Linked DNA regions of Canis lupus familiaris. The protein of the gene in region 1 interacts with the protein of each later gene in a pairwise test. Links are inferred from orthologs where the notes say so. Each region holds a gene or a part of one and is shown on either strand. Other genes may lie near its edges.

Evidence for each region.
Region 2: the proteins of CAMK2B (region 1) and RAP2B interact in binary tests that used the Homo sapiens proteins (3 or more experiments, as listed by UniProt). The two-hybrid records come from large-scale screens. The link is inferred for Canis lupus familiaris from reciprocal best matches to the Homo sapiens genes CAMK2B and RAP2B.

What each region holds. Positions count from the first base shown.
Region 1 is NC_049237.1:14,306,752-14,317,535, forward strand, and holds part of CAMK2B (calcium/calmodulin-dependent protein kinase type II subunit beta), read left to right. Parts: intron 1-2,893; coding exon 2,894-2,966; intron 2,967-5,306; coding exon 5,307-5,409; intron 5,410-5,497; coding exon 5,498-5,581; intron 5,582-6,805; coding exon 6,806-6,900; intron 6,901-7,049; coding exon 7,050-7,172; intron 7,173-7,538; coding exon 7,539-7,622; intron 7,623-8,192; coding exon 8,193-8,235; intron 8,236-9,166; coding exon 9,167-9,241; intron 9,242-10,784. UniProt on the Homo sapiens protein: Calcium/calmodulin-dependent protein kinase that functions autonomously after Ca(2+)/calmodulin-binding and autophosphorylation, and is involved in dendritic spine and synapse formation, neuronal plasticity and regulation of sarcoplasmic reticulum Ca(2+) transport in skeletal muscle.
Region 2 is NC_049244.1:48,049,345-48,058,961, reverse strand, and holds RAP2B (ras-related protein Rap-2b), read right to left. Parts: upstream 4,325-9,617; 5' UTR 4,275-4,324; coding exon 3,723-4,274; 3' UTR 3,719-3,722; intron 3,684-3,718; 3' UTR 3,632-3,683; downstream 1-3,631. Other genes in the region: serine/arginine repetitive matrix protein 1-like, read left to right, coding at 4,529-4,710, 5,087-5,375, 5,554-5,828, 6,524-6,751, 7,419-7,548. UniProt on the Homo sapiens protein: Small GTP-binding protein which cycles between a GDP-bound inactive and a GTP-bound active form. Involved in EGFR and CHRM3 signaling pathways through stimulation of PLCE1.

The DNA.
Region 1 (10,784 bases):
CGGGGCCTGCTGAGGCAGGGACCCAGGAGGCTGGCCACGCGGGGTGGTCCGGGCCCCGGTAGGTGAATCGGCGGCCCTTCCAGGGGTGCTGCTCGCGGCAGAGCAGTCCTCGGCTCCTAGCGCCTGGATTCTCTGGAGGAGGCAGGGGCAAAGCAGGACTTGCTTTTTTGACCTCTTTCTTCTTCCCACTTGGGAGGAATTTGGCAGTTTGTGGGAAAACTGAAGGGTCTTTTCCAAAGCAGGCAAATCAAAATTCAAAATATTTAGAACCCGGTTTTTAAAAGGCTAGTAAGATAGTGGCTCCTGAGAGATGTTTGAAGGGCCTCCTGAGACTCCACTGCCCCAGTGAGAAGGAGGCGGGGGGGGGGGGGGGGAGGAGGGGGAGTGGGAGGAGGAGGAGGAGGAGGCAGGGGCACAGCAGAGGTGACCTCTGAGCCCAGAGGTCTGGGACCAGGACCCAGCCAGTGTCTGCAGCTCTCTTGGGAATAACTCTGACCCCCCCAAGAAAGGTCCCATGGGGATAATGGCACCAAGGTTGTGGGCTCAGATTGGAGTGGGGATGAGGGCCGGTGGTCTGGGCCCCAGGGGCCCCCCCAGGGCAGGGCTGCCCATAGTGTGCTCGGCCCATTCATTCCGGGCGGCGGGGGGGAAACCAGCCCATTTCTCCACCGGGGTGGCTGTGAAGCTTTTGGAGCAGGTCCTCAGAGTCACAGGCACAGCCAAGTCCTGCAATGCTGTCGCAGAGATGCAGCCCCTCTGCTGGCCTCGTGTGTCTGGTGCGTGTCTGGGCCCGGCACTCCCAGGAGGGATGGGGAGGGCAGGGTGCAGCCCACCCGCCCGGAGCCCACGTTACTAGTCTGTCCCGCAGCACATGGACCCGTGGGTCCAACAAACAGTCTCAGAACGTCTTGCTGCTGGGTGGGGCAGAGACAGAATTGGGAGCAGAGAGCCACCTGTCCACTGCCACGGAGGCCGCGGGCCAGTGCAGGGACACCCACCCCGAGCCCGCGGCTGCCGTGGGACTGCTGTGGGCACGGCCAACATGGGGCGTGCAGAGGGCGCTGTCCCCGCCACGGGATGGTCTCCGGGTGAAGGCGGGATGTGCGTGACCTGGAGGTGAAGCAGGATGTGCCGCGGGCTCAGCAGGTCTGCCCGGAAGCCAGGTCACCCCAGGGCTGGCGGGAGCAGCCGGAGGTCCAGGCCACACCTGCCCGGGGCGGAGAGGCCGCGGTGCCGGGAAGGGCCTGCAGGGTGTACAGCTGGGTGCTTGCCGGGGCAGAGCCGTCGCAGCCCAGGAAGGCGCTGGTCCGCCTGGGCTCCCCTCGCTCCGGGCAGAAGCTGCGTGCGGGTGGCCTCAGGGATCTGATGGCCCAGGGCTCCGGGTCGGCTGTGAGCGGCCGGTCTCTGGAGGCCAAGAAGGTGTTTCCCACCCCGGGCCCTGGCTCAGCGACCTCAGTGGCCAGTGCTGGGGGTGTCACCCTGTCTCCGCTGTACCCAGTGGCCTGCCTGGCCTTAGCAGGGGGCCTCCAAAGAGCTTTGCCCCGTGGAGTGGGTTCCCTCCACCTCCAACCCCCCACCCCCATGGTGAGCTTGCTGTGAGGGATCAGCCCACAGGGGCCGAGCCTGTGCCTGTAGAACGGGGGCTGGCAGTGGCTGGATGTGGGCCTGGTGCCACCGGGACACAGATGAGGATCCCCGGGGACTGAGTACTTTGTGGGAGTCATGTGAGCAGGAAAGGCTTTGAGGGCAAGTTAGGCCAGGACATGGGACAGGAGACCCTAGGACACGAGGGCAGGAGATTCAGGACATGGGAGGGTGGTATCAGGGGTTGTTTCCTGACCTCCACAAAGCTCAGGAATCATCAATCAGCAGGTCGCTAGGCTCTGGCCGCTGCAGGGAGGAAACAGGTCTCCTTTTTCAGGCAGCAGGCGATGGTCCCCAGGTGTGGCCAGAGCTATCTGAGGAACCGGTCTGGTCCCTCACCCCGCCTGGAGTGCGCCATTAGGAAAACGAAGCCCACGCCACAGCTGACTGGCCATCACCTCGCAGGGTCTAGCTATGGCAGGAGGGGTCCTGAAGCAGTCTGCACCCCCCACCGCCACCAAAAGGGGATGCAACTGTGGCCCGGGCAGGTCCAGGGCTGTGAATATGGTCCCAGGCAGGTCCAGGGCTCCCGGCGGCCTGTGGCTGGCTCTGGGGCAGCTGGAAACTATGTGCACCCCTTGGGCCATCTGGGGGAGGTGGGCTCAGGCCAGAAGCTGGTGTGTGTAGTGGGGCGGGTGTCAGGGTCTGTGCTCGGGTGATGTTGCTCATGCACAGGTGTCCGAGGTGCCTGAGAGTGGCCCCCACCTCTCCCTCCCGCCCAGAAGGCCCCAGACTGCTCCCTGGCTCAGAGCCCCGGGCGGCCCAGCACAGCAGCCAGCAGTCAGTGTGGACGTTTGGGGCTGTTAACGCTCCAGCAGCTGCCCCAGAACAGAGTGTGGTCCTGGTGCTCGGGTGCCACCCTGCTGCGTGGTGCCAGCCTGCCTGGCAGGGTGTGGGCTCAGCCCTAGCCCCCTCTCGGAGGGCGCCTGGCCCAGCTTTGGGCGCAGTCGGTGTGAGCCTGGGGAGGGTGCACGGGGACCACAGGTGTTTCCTCTAAGTGTCGCTTACTGGGTCAGAGGAGACGGCTGGGCAGGGGTGCAGGGGGCTGGCTGTGCCCTCTGCCAGCCCGTGGGGGTGAGGAAGGGTTCTGGAGACTCTCTTCTGGCCGGTGTCTCCTCTCCCATATGGCAGGCTGCATCTTGATCCCCTGCTTCCCCACAACCCCAGTGCCACACAGCACCCCATGCCTGCACCCTGCCCCCCTGCCCCTCGAGGCCACCCTCACTAACACGCCTGCTGTTTGCTGCAGTCACTGCATCCAGCAGATCCTGGAGGCGGTTCTCCATTGCCACCAAATGGGGGTCGTCCACAGGGATCTCAAGGTGAGTCCCCCGCCCTGCTCTGCCAGGTGTCTGTCGTCCGTACCTGCATGTCTCGAAAAAGGAGGCCCTGGAGGGGCAGTGGGAGTGCCAGGAGCTGCTGCGTGTGAGTGTGCATGAGCTTGTGTGTGGGGGTGCAAGAAGGTGCATGCAGATGTGTGAGAATGTGCGCAGGTGTGTACTTGTGTGTGCATGTGTGTACACGCATGTGAGAATGCACGTGCACACGTGTGTGTGTGTGTGTGTGTGTGTGCGCACGTCCCTCCAGATGCCTCCAGGCTTCAGGACTGAGAGGCAGTGGTCAAAAATTAGCCTATTAGCACATGTCACCTGGGGTGTCATTCCGCGCTCCAGGTGGGACACAGACCTGGCAGGGGGGCACACAGGTGATGTGTGCACAGGTGGGGCTGATGCCAAGGGCGTAGGGGTGAGCTCAGGGCCAGCCCTGGTGGTCGCTGCCAGTGTCCAGCCCATTCTGGAAGTGTCTGCTGCCCCTGGCTCAGCTCTGGGCAAAACAGTTTGTCACCCCCCAGGGCACAGTGTGGCCTCAGGAGGAACAGCGCCCCCTCTGCCTTCCCCGCCTCCTCGTGTCTCTAAGGCTGGGCTCCTGCCAGCTTTTTCTCTAGGGTGTGAGGGAGCTATCATTCCCTCTGAGAGTCCCCAGGTGGCATTTGAGACCAGCCTTCCCACAGGCACTCTGGTGCTCACGCTAATTGGGGCCATGCCTTGGGCCACCAAGGGGTGTGTGTGTGTGTGTGTGTGTGTGTGTGTGTGTGTGTGTGTGTGAGCTCATCCTGGCGGGGCTGCTCTGGGGACGACATCCCACCGGGAGTGGGCCCAGCACCCCCTCCTATGCCCTTCACGTCTCTCTCTGCACACCCCACGTGGTCCTGCATCCCTCTGCCTGCGCCTTAAGCCCGCCTTGTCTGCCCTTGGGGCTTCACGGTCTGTCACCATATTGTTTGAAGCAGCGTCACTTGGAGGCATGCGTTCCCACCTGGTTCCTGGACCCTATGAGTCGTAGCTCACCCTGAGGCCACGGCATAGGAATGAAGATGGGTGCTCCCTCTGGCCCAGGTGTGACCCGGGGGTAAACAACCCTTGCTGAAAAGAGCAGAAGGGCAGGACGCATGGGCTCTCCGTCTCCTGCCTGCTGTGGAGGCCAGACGGCCTCTCCTCTTCTGGAGAGGACCCCTGTCCCCTGTGGGGACGGAGCCCCAGAGGTGGTACTGTGGTGGACTTGCTCGCAGCAAGGTGTGGGGGCGGAGGGGTGTGGAGCTGGGGTGGGGACCCAGCCCATCCCTTGGTGCTGCCTTGGTGCCTCTGGGCTGCTGAAGCCCCCGCCTGCCACTCAGATCCCTCGGTGCAGGTGATGGGGAGGCAGGGTCCCCCCAGCCCTGCTCACATGGGCAAAGTGAGGATGTCCAGGGCCTTCTGAGCTGTTCTGGGCGGGCAAGGCCACATGTCACATGGGCGACAGAGCTGTCCAGCCAGCTTGTGGGGCCAAGGGGCCAGGGGAGGACCCACTTTCTGCCATGGGTCCGGCCTCCTTCCCAGGCTCCAGGGACTGTTGTCAGGGCACCCAGCAGTGTGAACTCAGCTTTTTTGGGGCAGTGTTTGCCTTTCTTGGGGAGCTGACATGGCAGTGTGGTCTCAGTGGGCCTGCCAGATGGGGGGAAGGAGAGGGGAGGGGAGGGGGCCCTGGGAGCCCCCCTGTGGCCAGAGACAACGGAGCCCAGAGGCCGTGAGCTCCGAGTGCTCCACGCCGCCGACTGCCACAGGCGGCCAGGCCGGGGCGGGAGGGGCCCTGCGTACAGGACACGGGGTAGAGGGACACTCTGGGCCCTCGGGGCCACGTGTCCCCCGTTGGGGGCCGCAGTCTCCTTGGTGCTGCCGTGGGACAGGGGACGAGTGTCCTTCAGCTGCTCCCTGAGGCAGAGGGTGCTGGATGGGCCCGAGCCAGAGGGACGTGGGGGCAGATGCTCCAAGCCGCCTCCTTCCTCCTTACTCTCTGGGGGTCCCGCTCCTCCGGCAGCCCCTCACTGTGTCTCTGAGCACCCAGACGTGGAACATGGGGTGGGGGCATCGCCTGCCAGGGCTTGTCGGGTGCACTAAGGTCTGGTTGCTGCACCCTGAGGTGTGAGCCGGTTCCTCTGTGCCCCAGAGGCCCCCAGGGTGCTGAGGGGGTGCCCCAAGGTGTTGGCCAGGGCAGCACTCACACAGCAGGGGGTCAGACCCATGCACCCCGGCCTGCAAACCGCAGTCCTGTCTACTGTGTCCCCTGCCCTCCGTGACACCCCGGGTGTGAACCACACACCCACTGGTGGGTCACCTTCCCCGCAGCCCGAGAACCTGCTCCTGGCCAGCAAGTGCAAAGGGGCGGCCGTGAAGCTGGCGGACTTCGGCCTGGCCATCGAGGTGCAGGGCGATCAGCAGGCATGGTTTGGTGAGCATCCCGCTGGCCGCAGGGGGAGGAGGGAGGACGGGGCTCAGAGGCTGATGGGGCCCTCACCCCGCCCTTCCCCTGCCCCCAGGGTTCGCAGGCACACCGGGCTACCTGTCCCCGGAGGTCCTGCGCAAGGAGGCCTACGGCAAGCCGGTGGACATCTGGGCATGCGGTGAGACCCCTGTAGGGGCGGCGTGGGGCCGCAGGGGCCATGGGGGCCTGGACCACTGGTGCTGGGCCAGGCCAACCCCTGCACGGCCCATGGCTGGAGACACACTGGGGGGTTTGCGAGGGCTCAGTGTCTGGGAAGGTGGGGGCTGTGTGCGAGGGGACGGGATGTCCAGAAGGGTGGGTAGCCCACCAGCAGTGCTGACTCCTGGGGCTGCACCCGGCCTGGAGCCCCTGCCCGCACAGATTAGAATTGCCACCGCGACCCTGGCTGTGGCAGAGAAGCCCACCGCCCAGAAGAGAGGGCTGGGCCAGGGGCAGCACAGGGTGCTTAAGGGGTGGGGGCTATGCAGGCGGTGGCAGGGCTGCCTCCTTGGTGGGGGTCCCAGGCACAGCTGAACCCTGGATGGACGCTCGTGTTCCCAGGGCACAGGGTTGAGCATGAGGCGTGGGTGGGGGCCGCAGGGGGCTCAGGGAATGGAGGCTATGGGTGGTTCAGGGGGTGGGGTGTTGGGTGGGGTGGGGCATGGGTGGGGGCTGCAAGGGGCCCAGGGAGGGCTCAGGGAATGGGGGGCTGAGATGGGGTGGGGGCTGCGGAGGGCCCAGGGGGTGGGGATGGAGGCTGCAGGAGGGTGCCCAGGGAGTGGGGGGCTGGGGTAGGGTGGGGGTGGAGGCAGTGGAGGGGGCCCAGGGAGTGGGGGGCTGGGGTGGGGTAGGAATGGAGGCTGTGGGGGGTCCAGGGAGTGGGGCGCTGGGGTGGGGTGAGGGCTGTAAGGGGCCCGGGGAGTGGGGTGGAGTGGGGATGGAGGCTACAGGGGGGTGCCCAAGGAGTGGGGGGCTGGGGTGGGGTGGGGTGGAGGCAGCAGAGGGGGCCCAGGGAGTGCAGGCCCAGGGTGGGGTGGGGTGGGGGCTACAGGGGAGGCCTGGGGAAGGGCTCAGGGAGTGGGGGGATGGGATGGGGTGGGAGTGGAGGCTGTGGGGGGTCCAGGGAGTAGGGAGTGGAGTGGAGTGGGGAGTGGGGTGAAATGAGGATGGAGCTGCAGGGGGTGCCCAGGGAGTGGGGGGCTGGAGTGGGGTGGGGGTGGAGGCAGTGGAGGGGGCCCAGGGAGTGGGGACCTGGGGTGGGGTGGGGTGGGGGCTGCAGGGGAGGCCTGAGGATGGGCTCAGGGAGTTGGGGGCTGAGGTGGGGTGGGGCAGCCCCGTGAGGTCCATGCTCTGTTCCCCCCAGGGGTGATCCTATACATCCTGCTGGTGGGCTACCCACCCTTCTGGGATGAGGACCAGCACAAGCTCTACCAGCAGATCAAGGCAGGAGCCTATGATGTGAGTGCTGGGACCCCTTCGGACCCCTCCCCGTCCAGGGGGAAGCTCCTCTTCCCAGAACCAGGACCCTGATGTAGACCACTCGGAGAATCTGGCTCCCGCCTGGGGAGAGGGCTTCAGAAACACTCGTGGGTTGCCTTCTATTCTAGTTTCCCTCCCCCGAGTGGGACACCGTTACTCCTGAAGCCAAAAACCTCATCAACCAGATGCTGACCATCAACCCCGCCAAGCGCATCACAGCACACGAAGCACTGAAGCACCCATGGGTCTGCGTAAGTGCACCCAGCATGGTGACCCTGGGGTCTCCTCTGCACAGCTGACCGGCCTCCCTGGTCTCCTGAGTACTGCACGGCCTGTGGCCGGGGACACACTGGGGGGTTTGTGAGGGCTCAGTGTCTGGGAAGGTGGGGGCTGTGTATGAGGGGACGGGATGTCCAGGCGGACGAGATGTCCAGGTGGACGAGAGGGCCTGGCTGGGGAACACGGCTGTCAGGAAGGCCGGGAGGGTGAGGGTGAGGTGGGGGCAGATTTTAAGGGGTGGGGGCTGGGCAGCAGGTGGGATGGGTGGCTTGGATGCCCCAGCCCTGCTGCCCCAGCCCTCTCCCTGACCCGCATCCAAACGGCCTCTGTCCCCACAGCAACGCTCCACCGTGGCTTCTATGATGCACAGACAGGAGACTGTGGAGTGCTTGAAAAAGTTCAATGCCCGGAGGAAGCTCAAGGTGAGATGCAGCTCCCAAGTGCCCACCGCCCAGGTGACTGTGCCCTTAAGGGTCCTGGACTGGGAGCGGCCCCAGGGGTCCTGGCAGGCTTAGTGAGGGGAGGCACAGCGGTCCCAGCGATCTTGGCCCTATCCTGGGCCCCACATGGCAGTGACCCTGGAGAGCGTGGCACCAGCCTGCAGGCTGGGGGTTTCCTCGGGGTTCCCCGCAACAGGGTTCCATGCACCCAGGGCTGTGCACAGGCAGGTGCCCCGGGTCACTGCCGCTCACTTCAGGGTGAGTGAGTGGGCGGCCCTGACCCCCTGCAGGCTGAGCTAGGGGACCAGCCTGGTGGGTGGGGAGGAGAAGGCTGTCAGGGGGCCAGTGGGAGGAGCCCTGGGGTCCTGGAGCCCTCTAGAAGCTGTGGTCCACCGGCCACCGCTTTGTCAACTCTGGAAGCAGGCGGCCAGTCCCCTGCAGCTGCTGAGTCTGCAGACTGGTCTGCGAGGCAGGGGCCTGAGTCCTGCCAGGCGCCCCCAGGCTGAGGTCGGGGCCGGGGTGGCCAGGCCTCAGCTGCCTGTTTCTCCCCAGGGCGCGATCCTCACCACCATGCTGGCCACGAGAAATTTCTCAGGTGAGAATGGTCTTCTCCTGGAAAAGCAGGCTTCCGAGGGCACCAGTGCCAGCCGCCCGCCTTCCCTCACCCCATCTCCCCGCCCATCTGCCTGCCGCTCAGCGGCCTGGCCTCCTGCTCTCCCGGGGCCACAGGGCCTAGGCTCCGGGGCGCCCCCACCCTGACCTGGCACTCACCCCCGTCCCTGCGTGTTGGGTGTCTGTATCCTCGCCTGACGCCCTCATGTGTGAGCTGCCCGCCGCCTGGGCCGCAGCTCTGTGTGTCTGTCGGCACCTCCGTGGCCTTGTTGTCCTGAGCCCTCTGAGCACCCGTTCTGTGTGGGGGAGAGAGAGGAGGACCCGGGACCTCTCCACTGAGCTCCGGACTCGCTGGTGGCTGCCCGCCTGGGGCACCGAGGCCAGGGGGGTGGGGGGGGGGGGGGGGGGCGGGGGCGGGTTGTGGCGTGCGGCTGCTCAGGGGCGTCTGTCAGCGACCCCGAGGCCAGGGGCCCTGGCGGCCCCGTGTGGGCACGGCGTCACCTGAGGGGCAGGTGGCCCACTGGCTGTCCTGTGGTTGTCTGTCGCCCGCGTCATTGGGTGCGGGAGCGTCTGGGGTCCGTCCCTGTGCGTCTGTATCCAGCACCCCGTCCTGTGACCTTTGCTGTGATCCTGTGGTGCCGGGAACGGGGGGTGTGTGTCACTCCAGCACGATGGGTCCCATCCTGGGCGCGAGAAGCCCCCGCTGGGGTTTTCTAAGGAGAAAGGAGGCAGATGCTTTTCACCTGTCACTCAGTCTGGGTCCTGTTCCCACTCTCCCGGGAACGGGACTCTGGAGCCATCCGCCACCGACTGTGGACTCTAATCTTCTTCTGCTTCCTTTGTCTCTCCTCCTCCCTCCCCTGCCCGCCCCGTCTGTGTCCGCCCCTCCCTCGTCTCTAACCCGGTGCTAACAGTGGGCAGACAGACCACCGCTCCGGCCACAATGTCCACCGCGGCCTCCGGCACCACCATGGGGCTGGTGGAACAAGGTAGATGTTCGTGACCAGGGTCCCGCCTGGCGGCATGCAGCCCCCTCGCTGCACGCAGCTGCCGGCCGGGCCTCCAGAGCCACCCCCTAGGCCCCGGGAGCCCCCGCTCCCGCCCTGGACAGGTCCCACTTGGAGAACAGGAGGCAGCCCCCGCTATGCTAAAGGAGGGGCCAGGCTAGGTGACCCCTGAGTCCTGCCTCCCCCCACGTGCATCACACGGATCCTCGGTCCTGACCCCTGACCCCCTAGACTCTAGGGGTCAGGAGACCCCTCTGGACAGAGTCTTGTGCTCTCTGCTGTCTCTCCCCACTTGTGCCTCACGAGCCCTGCTCAGAGTGACCTTGAGCACCCAGAGGGAGCCTCAGGGCTGCTGTGGGGTCTGGAGCCTGAGTGGGGGACTCCCGGGGAGAAAGACACCCTGCACTGTGCACCCCCGGCCTGGCCCCCCCTGCCCCCAGGGACCTGCCCTGTGCTGCTCCCCGTCACTCGCATGGAGCTGGTGGTCTGTGCTGGGTCCGACGTGTGCATGTGTGCCCTGTGAGCCCCAGGACAGGGGAGCCTCAGCACCCCCTCCCCGAACGTCCTGTTGGTTTTTTGTATGAGGCCCCTCATCTCTTCCCACACGTGTGAAGCCGGCCTGCTCCTCCCAGGAGCCTCAGGCCAGCAGCTCCCGCCCACCCAGCTGTGACCTTAGCCAGAACCCCTGAGGGCCGGTGGACCGGGCCCCAGGATCTGAGGGTGGACCAGCTTGAGCTGAGGGTGGTGCAGGTTTAGGGTGCACGGAGCCACCTGCAGCTGGGGTGGTGCCATCCCCGGGCTCCCCAGACGGAGCTCTGGGGCCTGGTTTTGTGCTGGTGCCTCGTGCTTCGGCTTGGTCAGGGCAGAGGCCGCCCCAGCCAGCCGTCCACCCCAGCTCTTGCCTCCAGGTCCCGCAGGGGATGCGTCCCCCAGCCACCTCCTTCTGGGGGTACTCAGGGCAGGGCCACCCTCGGGAACGAGGGTCTGCGCCCCTCCCGTGAGCCCAGAGGATGTGCCCGGCGGCAAGGCCCCAGAGGGCTTCGATCCTTAGCTTCCTCTCCGGAGCCTTTCTGGAGCGCGTGACGGGAAGGAGGAAGCGGGGCCAGGGAACAGGGAGCCTGGGCGCTCCTGGTGACGCGCTGCTGCCCAGCCCAGTGAGCCAAGCCTCTGGGCTGCTCTCTGCCGGGGGCTCCTGCCTGAAGCCCACCTGCCTGCAGCGGATGCGGAGCAGAGCGACTGCATGAGGCCGTGTGCATGCGCAGCCCCTGCCGGGGCACCCAGGGCTGCTGTCCCGGGGGTGGTCAGTGCATGTGGGCTGAGCCCAGCATGGCTGTCCCGGGCGACCAGCGAGGGGACGAGGCAGAGGCTGGGCCCTTGGGCTGAAGCCCCTCTGCTATGTCGACCCCTCTCAGCCAGCTGCACTGGGAGGGGGTCTCTGCTCCAAGGCCATCGCTCCCCCGAGGGGGACAGGATCTGGGTGACACAGTACCCCCGGGCAGAGGAGCCCAGGGTGTCTTTGTAGAGA
Region 2 (9,617 bases), on another chromosome or scaffold:
ACAATGGTAAGACTTCCAACAATGACACCTTCCATTTTTCTGAGGCTCTTACCAAAGGAGGACAAAAATCATCCTTTGAATAGACCGAAAGCTTGGATAACAGGGACCAAAAGGAAAAGCTGTTAAACGAACAGCAGGGGTCAAGTTTAAAAGTTAGCTTTTGCTCTCCCAGCTCAAGGCTCCTTTCCCACCCAGTTTCCAATGGGGCAGGTGAGGCCTGCCTTACAGCCTATTCCCTCGCTTCCTTGGACACTCTCAGGTCAACCCAGCTTTTTTCATGGAAACAAATGCTTGTCTTTTCACACCATACTCCATACTCCAGGGGGCTCTTACTAGCCCAATAAACTGAGTAGTCTTTAAGAACAATGCCCCCGATATCTGTCAATTTTGTCAAGAAAATAATGGAGAAAGCTACAAAACCCAGAACTACTACGTCCCTGCTCCAGGCACACACGCAAAATTGCTTTTCATGGAGAATCCAGAAAGCATTTATCTTACAGTACTCAGTGAAAGCATATTAAAGTCTGCCCTGGCATCTCACACCTATAAAGTATTAGTCATGCAAGTGACTAAATGCTGTGTGAAGATGATTAATGCACCCAGCAACCTAGTCCATGTCCAATTTGCCGTTTTCAAATTCTCCGTTTCAGGAGTATATACATGTCTTAAGTTAGTTAGATATTTTGGCAGCACTTTATGTCAAAGGCTTAAAAAAAAAAAAAAAAAAACCAACAAAGCCATAACTCAACAGTCACCAAATGCCTTAAAAAAAAAAAAAAAGTCCTTCACATAGAACCTGGTAGAGGTCTTCAGAATCTTCAACACTTTGAATCTACCAAAGAACTGAATTCATTCAAATGCAAGGCAATATTTGCAAAGACATAAATTTGAGTTATTTCTTAATTTCTCTATTTCTCACGTACATACTGCCTTCCAAATGAGTGATTCTAACCTTATGTAAGATCAAGAATGAAAAAAAAAAAAAAAAGCCATAGGACCATCACAGGCAAATTCTCTCTTTCTCCACCACGCTGGAATATTGAGTGACAGGTCACATGGGCCAAGGACACATTTTTAAGGCAAGATGTTAATACAGCTTTAAAGACGCCTGTGGCCTGTAACTTCTTTTGGCTTCCCCCACAGATGACTTCACCTCCACTTCACACAGCTAAGGTGTATCGTGTGCTCTTGATATACAGTCATATAGTTTCTTTTATTCTACACAGAGGTTATATTAGTAAAGTGGCCCTTAAGTAAAATAAAATACAATACGAAGCTCACACTGCCTCCTACTGTTAGAAGGAAAATTTCATGAGGTCAAAATGGTCCACAAATTGCAGTTTAATGGGAGTAAGGGGTCTATCTTATTTTTTCCTTTCTCTTCTTTTTTTTTAATATAATGACCTATTTTCAAACCAAAACCTCAAGTATTAAGACAGGGTCTGCAACCCACACAAATGCACTGCAGAAAACCCTACTAGGAATGACTTCAGAATTGGAAATCATGTTCCTCAAACATGTTTTTGACTTTGTATGTGATGTAATTAAACAAAAACATTAATAAAAAAAAAAAAGAGGAAGAAGAAAGAAAGACAGAAAGCAAGAAAGAAAAAGAAAAGTTAAAAGCACTACCCTGCCTGGTCAGGTGACTGGTGACTTCACCAAATCTAAGGCAGTATTAGGAGTTGGTTTCTCCCCTTCCCTACCCACAGTGAGGTAAACTGCTCCCTGTCAGCAGAACAGATTCAAAATCCTGCTTATCTTGTAGTCAAATGGTAATGGCCATACCCTCAGGGCTTCTTAGACCTTTAAGATTTTTTCCATATTTACGGGAGTTGGAAGTAATGTCACCCAACTTGTCACTGAGGTATTTCTGCTGGGAGCATCATGCACCTGCTGCCCCTATCCACCTCAGCCTCGATACTGTATTAAATCACTGAATATGAAACACAGAAACACAAACAATAGTTTTGGATTTGTTTCTTTAAAAATGACATCTGTATTAAAAGTCTTAAAATGGAGAGACAATGATTAAACGCGTGTCTGGAATTAAAAATTACAATTAGTGAGAATTCTCTTGGTACATCACAACAGGAAAATTTTGTTCTTTGCTTCTGGAGGAACACCCTAGAACAGATAACCCCAAAAAATTTTTAAAAATAATACAAAGGGGAGCTAAATACCTGAACATTTGAACAAAATGAAGCCAGATAAAAAAGAAAGAAAGAAGGGCAAAAAAAGAAAAAAAACAAAAAAACAAAACAAAACAAAATAAAAAAACAAAAAAACAAAACAAAAAAAAACAACCAAAACCATTGCAAGACATGGAAATTACATTTTAAGGGCTGGAAATAATAAAGAAATTCACCAAACAACAGGCCCTATTGTCCTGGCTCCTTCAGGAAGATTACAGAAAGGAAACTAGGAAGTGGTTTGGGGAATAGCAGATTCTGGGTTATGGTGGGAAGTTCACAGGTTGGCACCGGCTGGAACAGCTGAGTTTTGAAGGCACTCTGCAGACACAGGGGTGCTGGGGCCCTGAATCACATTTTTGAAGTCTTTGTACTGTATTTTAAAGAGCTAGTCATCAAAACCTGTCACTGCCAACCAAAAAGAAAAGCTAAACTTAAAAAAAAAAAAAACAAAAAACAAAAAGAAACCCAAAGAAACACACACACACACACACACACACACACAGTACACACAAAAATGTGCAGATCTGTAACATTTTTTTTTCACAGCTGATAAAAAAAAAAAAAAAATACTACCGTTCTCCCCCAGACTCCCCTTTGATACAGTAGGTAAACAAAATAGATTTTTTTTTTTTCCACAAATATCAGCAGACACTTTCTGGCACCCCACACTGCATTGGCATCAGTGTTTACAGTCCCAGTTCAGATGTGCATACTTCAGATTGGATACACTGTAACAAGAATCCAACTTTGCATAGACATCCTTAGAATCACAATCAGTCACAGGGTTGCCCTTCCAAGCTGGCAGAAAAGGAACCCGATCTTTAATTTCCAGCTCCTCCTGGAAAAAAAAAAAAAAAAAAAAAAAAGGAAAGAAAAAAAAATAAAAAAATAAAAAATAAAAAAAGCCAACACAAAAGTTTCTTCCCTTCCTCCTGTCCTGCTCCTTCATTTGGTTCTCCCGGACTTCCTTCCATGTGGAACTACAAAAAGGGGTGGTTGGAGGCAAAAGAAAAAAAATAAAAATAAAAAAAAAAAAAGGAAAAATTGCCCCCTCCCTTTCTACCTCCCCACCCCATTTATTTATTTATTTTTATTTATTTTCTTTTTCTTTTTTTTTTTTTTTTGCAGGCTGAAACTTTGGCCCGTGTCGAGCTGCCCACACAGCGCCCTAACGGCTCCTTACGCGGGGAGTGGGGTGGAAAAATCCGCGTCTCCCGGGGTCCACGAGCAGCGTGCATGCAGCAGGAGCCGCACCGCCCCCGGGGCTGCACCGGGGCTGCACCGGGGCTGCACCGGGGCTCGGAGGGGGAGGTCAGCGGAGGTCGGCGGAGGTCGGCGGAGGTCAGCGGAGGTCGGCGGGGGTCGGGAGCCGGGCGGTGCAGCCCAGCCGGGCCCCCGGCACCCCCGCCCCCGCCCCGGGGCCGAGGCACAGCGGCCCCCGAGGTCGGCGCGGGCGCAGCGCATCCCCCCCGCGGGGGCGGGCGCGGGGGCGGGCGCGGGGGCGCGGGGCTCCCGCGCGCGGGCGGCTCAGAGGATCACGCAGGCCGAGCAGCAGCCCTCGTCGCCGTTGGGCTGCGCCGCGTAGTTCATCTGCCGCACGATCTCCGCGAACAGCTCGTCCACCGAGGCTTTGTTTTTGGCCGACGTCTCCATGAAGGGGCAGCTCCACTCCTCGGCCAGGGCCTTGCCCTCGCCGTACGACACCTCGCGCTCGCCCTCCAGGTCCACCTTGTTGCCCACCAGGATCATGGGCACGCGCTCGTACCGCTTGACGCGGATGATCTGGTCCCGCATGGGCTTGATGTCCTGGAAGCTCTGCTGGTTGACCAGGCTGTAGACGAGGATGAAGCCCTGGCCGTTCTTGATGTACAGGTCCCGCATGGACGCGAACTGCTCGGTGCCCGCCGTGTCCAGGATCTCGAGCACCGACGGCGACGAGTCCACCTCGATCTCCTTGCGGTAGAAGTCCTCGATGGTGGGGTCGTACTTCTCGATGAAGGAGCCGGTCACGAACTGCACGGTGAGCGCCGACTTGCCCACGCCGCCCGAGCCCAGCACCACCACCTTGTACTCTCTCATGGCTCCGCCGGCGCCCTCGCCGCGCCCGCCGCGGCCCCGTCGGGGGTGCGCGCCGCGGGGCGCCTGGGCTCGTCGGCTGCACGACCTGCCCCCGGGCTCAGCCTGGCGGCGGCGGCGGCGGCGCGGCGGCGACGGCGGCGGCGCGGGAGGACAATGCCGGCGGCCCGGGCGGCGGGAGGCGGCGGCGGCGGCGGCGGCGGCGGGCTGCCGGGGGGGCTGCTGCTACGTGCGCGCCGGCCCGGGCCGCGCGTGGCATGGGGCCCCGCAGACCGTGCGCCCACCGCCGCGGCCCAGCGCGCTCTCCCCGCAGCCTCCGCGGGGCGACGGCTTCCTACTCGCCGCGCGCAGCCCGGCCCTCCCCGCCCCGGCGAGCATGCCCAGTGCGCCGACGGCCTCGCCCGCGCCAGCCGCCGCGCCGGGTTTTCCGGGGGGCCGGGCAAGGGGGCGGGGCCGCGCGCGGGGGGGGCGGGGCCGGGGCGGGGCCTCCCCAGGAGCGGCCTGCGAGAGGCTCGGGGTCGGCACGGGGGGCGGGGCCTCGCGCGGGGGCGGGGCTTGGGCCGCGCTGGGGGCGGGGCGAGGGCGGGGCCTCCCCGGGAGCGGCCTGCGAGGGGCTCGGGGCTGGGCGCGAGGGGCGGGGCCTCGCGCGGGGGGCGGGGCCGGGGCCTCCCGGGGAGCGGCCTGCGAGGAGCTCGGGGGCGGGGCCGCGCGGGGGGCGTGTCCGGGGGCGGGGCCTCCCGGGCCGTGCGAGGGGCCCAGGGCCGGGCGCGGGGTGAGCAGCGCGCGTGGGTGTGCACGGGGGCGGCTTGGTGCAGCGGGGCGGTGGCGCCGCGGCGTGGGCTGCGCGCTCGGCCGCTCCCGTTGTCCCGGGCGCCGGGAGACCCCGAGGGCGTGGGAGCGGCGCGCGGGGCACCTGTGCCCCCTCCCACGGCGCGGGCCCCGACACGCTCCCGGCCCCCCACTCCCGTCGTCCCGCACAAAGGGGCCCGCGGGGGCTCCGGCCGGCACAGGGGAGCCTCCCGGAAGCGCGGAGGCCGGGCCGACCCCCAGCCGCACGGCCGCGGCGCCGGCAGCGAGCCCGGGCATGCTCAGTGGGCGGAACAGGTTTTCGGGCTTAGAAATAGGAAGCTGGGGCCCGCGCAGCCACCGCGCGGCTCACATTACCTCTCCCGGCCTCGGGCCCCATTGGCCCCGCCGCGCCCGTCTCGCCGCCCCGGCCGGGGCCCCATTGGCTGCCGCCGAGGCTCCCGCACTTGCGGCCGCTTCATTGGCGGAAAAGTAGCCTCGGCTCGCGATTGGCGCCTGCGGAGCTCGAGCGGGGGGCGGAGGCGCAGCTGTTCTTTCCCCGCTGCTCCCCGCCCCCCCCTCCCGCTTCCCCCGACCTAGTCGTTCTGGGAGCCCGGGGTGCAAAAAAAGAAGAGGAATTAAGGCGGAGAGCTCGGCGCTAAATATAGTGCCCCGCTGGCGCTGCGGGGCGAGCCTGGCTGCGCAGCGCCCGGAGGCCGCGGGCGCCCTGCTCCCCCCGCTGGGCCCGGGCTCCTGCGGAGTTTGCAAAGTGTGCGGCTGGGCGGGAAGTGGGGGGACGGGGGCGTGCAAGGGGGCCGCCCGGACTGCGTGCGCCGCCCGCTCCGGGTCCCGGGGCGGGGGCGGGGGCGGGGATGCCCAGGCTTGTCCTCCTGCAGACGTCTGGGTTTGGGGGCGGGCCGCCTGCACGTCGGGCTGGGCTCGCGGCCGCGGGAGGGGCGGGGGCGCTGCCTCGACCTGCCCCAGCCTCCCTGCCTCCTCGCCCGGGGCCGGGACCCGGGACCTGTCGGGGGGCCCGCGTGTGCACGAGCCCCGGAGCCGGGGGTGCGGGGGTGGGTAGGGGGGCACGAGCTGCGTCAACCCCCCCAGCTCCGAGTCTGCACTTTTTTTTTTTTTTTTTTTTTGGTTTTGCAAGCCGAGGCTACTCGCGCTCGGCGTGCGCTTCGGACGAGACGCGCCCGGCTGCGTGGCGAGCGCTGGGTTTGGGCCCCGGGTCCGGCCACGTTCGCGGGCTGACCTGCCCCGAGCCGCGGAGGCGCAGCCCCAAGTCCCCACCGGCCCCGGCGGGACGTGGGTGCAGCCGCCGCCTGGGGGGTGGGGAGGGGAGCGGGGTGCTGGGGGGTGCCGGGGGGTGCCCGCCCCGCCCTCACGGTGGAGCGCAGACAACGTGTTTTAACCTTGACTATCAGAGAGCCCGCCTCGAACTCTGTGCTTATGTAATCCTCCAGGAAAAAAAAAAAAAAAGAAGAAAAAAGCAAAGAGCACCCCACCTGTCAGAGGCACACCCACCTCCTGCAGCAGAGGAGAAGCCCCGCAGCACTGACCAGCGCTGAATGTCTGCAGAAGGTCCCGCACGGCTCCTCCGCGCCGCCTCACAGGCCTTGTTACACCTGTTTTAAAGAGGAAGCAACTGAGGTCCTGGGATGTTGGGTGACTTGCCTGCGATTTCCCAGCGGGTGAGTGGCCGGGCTAGGACCCCGGCCTCCCTGTTGGGCTGCAGAAGCTGGCGTGTGCCTCTCGGGGCCCTACTGCCTCCTCTCGGGGAAGTCCCCAGGTTGTACTCTTGCTTAGGGTCAGCCTTGGGGCCTGAGGTCAGACTGTCTCCACCCCAAGCGAGAGGGACCTCTGCCCACCGCCCCGGGGTTCTCCCCTGGTGATGCACCCTCCCGCAGGGTCAAGGAAGCTGAACCTGCTTCTAGGCCAGGCTCCAGGGAGTCAGAATTCTGGAATCCTCTGCCCAAATAGGACTTGCTTGGAATTTTGAACTCAGTCCTGTGTCCAGGGATGGCTGTTTGTTGGGCTGAGGTGTGCACTCCCAGGTGCTGTGGGCTCCCAGTGGGTGCAGGAAGGGTCCTCCATGGAGTCAGCTTTGCTTCCCTTCCCCTTTCCAGCCTCCTCCTTGGAAGAGTCCCGAATTCCTGATTCACACCATGCAGGTCCTTGTAAGGAGGTATTTGTCAGGGTGAGAGGACACATGGATCCTATTTTGTTAACAGTTTGCTATCTTGATTTATAACTTAAGTATTTAGAGTAATGCTATGTGGGCCTCTCTTTGTCCTCTTGCCCACAAATACTAGGAAGGGTCCTGAGTCTGACATAATAGAAAATACTTTGTCCTTACAGGTCTGGTGTCTCGTCTCAAGAACTGGATATCAGTTATTATCTGAGACCTTGGGCGAGTCCCTTGAGCTCTCTTGACTCCAGTTTCCCCGTCTATAAAATGGTGATAATAAAATTTGCCCTATGTACCTAGCTACATGAGGAACCTTGGAGAGAATCTAGTGACCAAACCCCTCATTTTGCATCAGAGAGAAGGGAGCAAAATTAGAACCCTGGTGTCCTGGCTGCACTTTACATGGTGCCAGCCTGTCCTCAGGGAAAATAATTGACAGATAATGGATGGAAACATGCTTTTAAAGCTGCAGAGCCCCATGAATGCATGGCAGTTACTACTCTGACCCAGGTAGCCTCACAGCCTGGTCTAGAAGATTCCCTCCTCAGGACCTCAGGTCGTCACGTGGATCGGTATTACCGAATCTTGGTACCAGTACCAGAAAGATGCCACAGTGTGAACACTGTCTATTAGGGATTCTTCGGTAGTAGTGTTTATTATGTTCAGGTGCTCTCTCACAGACAGATTTGCACTAGGACTTTGGGATTCAAAATGAAGTAAAGAAACTGATGACACATATATTTTTAGGATTGGCCACTTCCTCCTGTGAAATCTGTTAGGTGTCTTTACCTCACTTAGGGCATGAATCATTATCTGTCCTCTACTGTAATTATTGACACGTCTATGTCTTGTCACCCAGCACCTTGGGAATGCCTTGAGGGCAGAGGCCATATCTGGCTTATCTTTGGAGCCATCTCTGACCCTCATAACACCTAGTACAGTGCCTCCGCGGGAGGCCCTCCATAAATATTTATTGATGAAACTAGGAAGTACATTTTATTCCTTTTCCAAATTCCACTTGTAGTAGAAGATTATATTAATCCATGGTGAGACATACCACTTCCTGGATCCTTAGAAAAATGTATACCGACGTTACCGTCTCCCTGAGTCATCAAAATGACTTTTAAGATGAGCAGAGTCTATCCTTATTTGGGTGGAAGCACTAAATCGGTGCTGTCTTGGGGAAAGATACCAAGCCTCCAGTGGATAAAGCCTTTCTCCGAAGAAGACTGACTTTTGCACGTAACCTGAAAAGGTATTTCTAGGAAACAACCTAATGTAAAAGTTACCGGGTAAGGACTGCTTAAGCACTGACAATGTATGTTGACAATGTATGTTGCACAAACAAGGGTACCCTCCTCCCTTGGCTTTTGCTCCCACAGCGGGGACTGCTGAGCTTCTGGGACACTGAGATTGGGCCTTCGGGCAATGAGATGGTTTGTTGGAATCCAGGTCTTCTAAGTCCTCAAGAGCATAAGCCACCTACCTGCCTCCACGTTTACAGAAAGCAGAGGTTTATTTCATCACGATTGTAGCTTTAGCTGATGCCACTTCGTGTTTTCTTCGAGCATTTTTAAGGTTTCTTTTTCTTTTTTTTTTGGCTTTTTTTTTTTTTTATTTTTTTTATGGCCCCACTTTGCTTTTCATTTGAAAGGAGAGCATCAGTAAAGATGGAGCGATTGAGATCTAAGCAATAGGATGTCCGCGGAATGGGAGTTTCTGGGGAGAGGACCAAGGAGGAGTCTGAGGACTCTAGTGGGAAGCCTGAAGATACATACTTTCTCTCCAACAGTCAAGAAAAAGCCAAGAGACCTGAAGTGGAGCTTGAGAGGGTGAGAAGTTGAGGAAGTTCAAGCTACAAGCAACCTTCTCTTCATAAATAAAAAATGGCAAGGCACCTGCTGTAGGAAGGGAGGTCAGGTGTGGGCTTGGGAACGAGTAGAAATGAAGCTTTTTAACAGTGACTGTGCAGTACGCAGTATGATGTTGCTAACCTGCTAAATTTGGTTTACGTGAATTTGTGAAGATGCCAATTCAACTTTCTTTTTTTCTTTTTCTTTTTCTTTTTCTTTTTTTTTTTTTTAAGAAGGATCTTGATAATTCCTCTTAAGTCTGGTGGGTTTCTGTTAAAATCCCTGAGGGTTTTGTATCAACACATACAAACAAATAATTATAAAAGTAAGTATGTCTCTCTCACATGTCAACCTTAGTGAAAATACACACACAAACCACTGATTTATGTGATTAAAAGTTTCATTACTAAGGGGAAATTAAATGAACTCAATAAAACTGTCTTACCTATACGGTCTCTTGAGTTTTTCTTTCTGTTGCATGCTAAATTAAAATAAGACCTTGAGTACCTAAGCTCA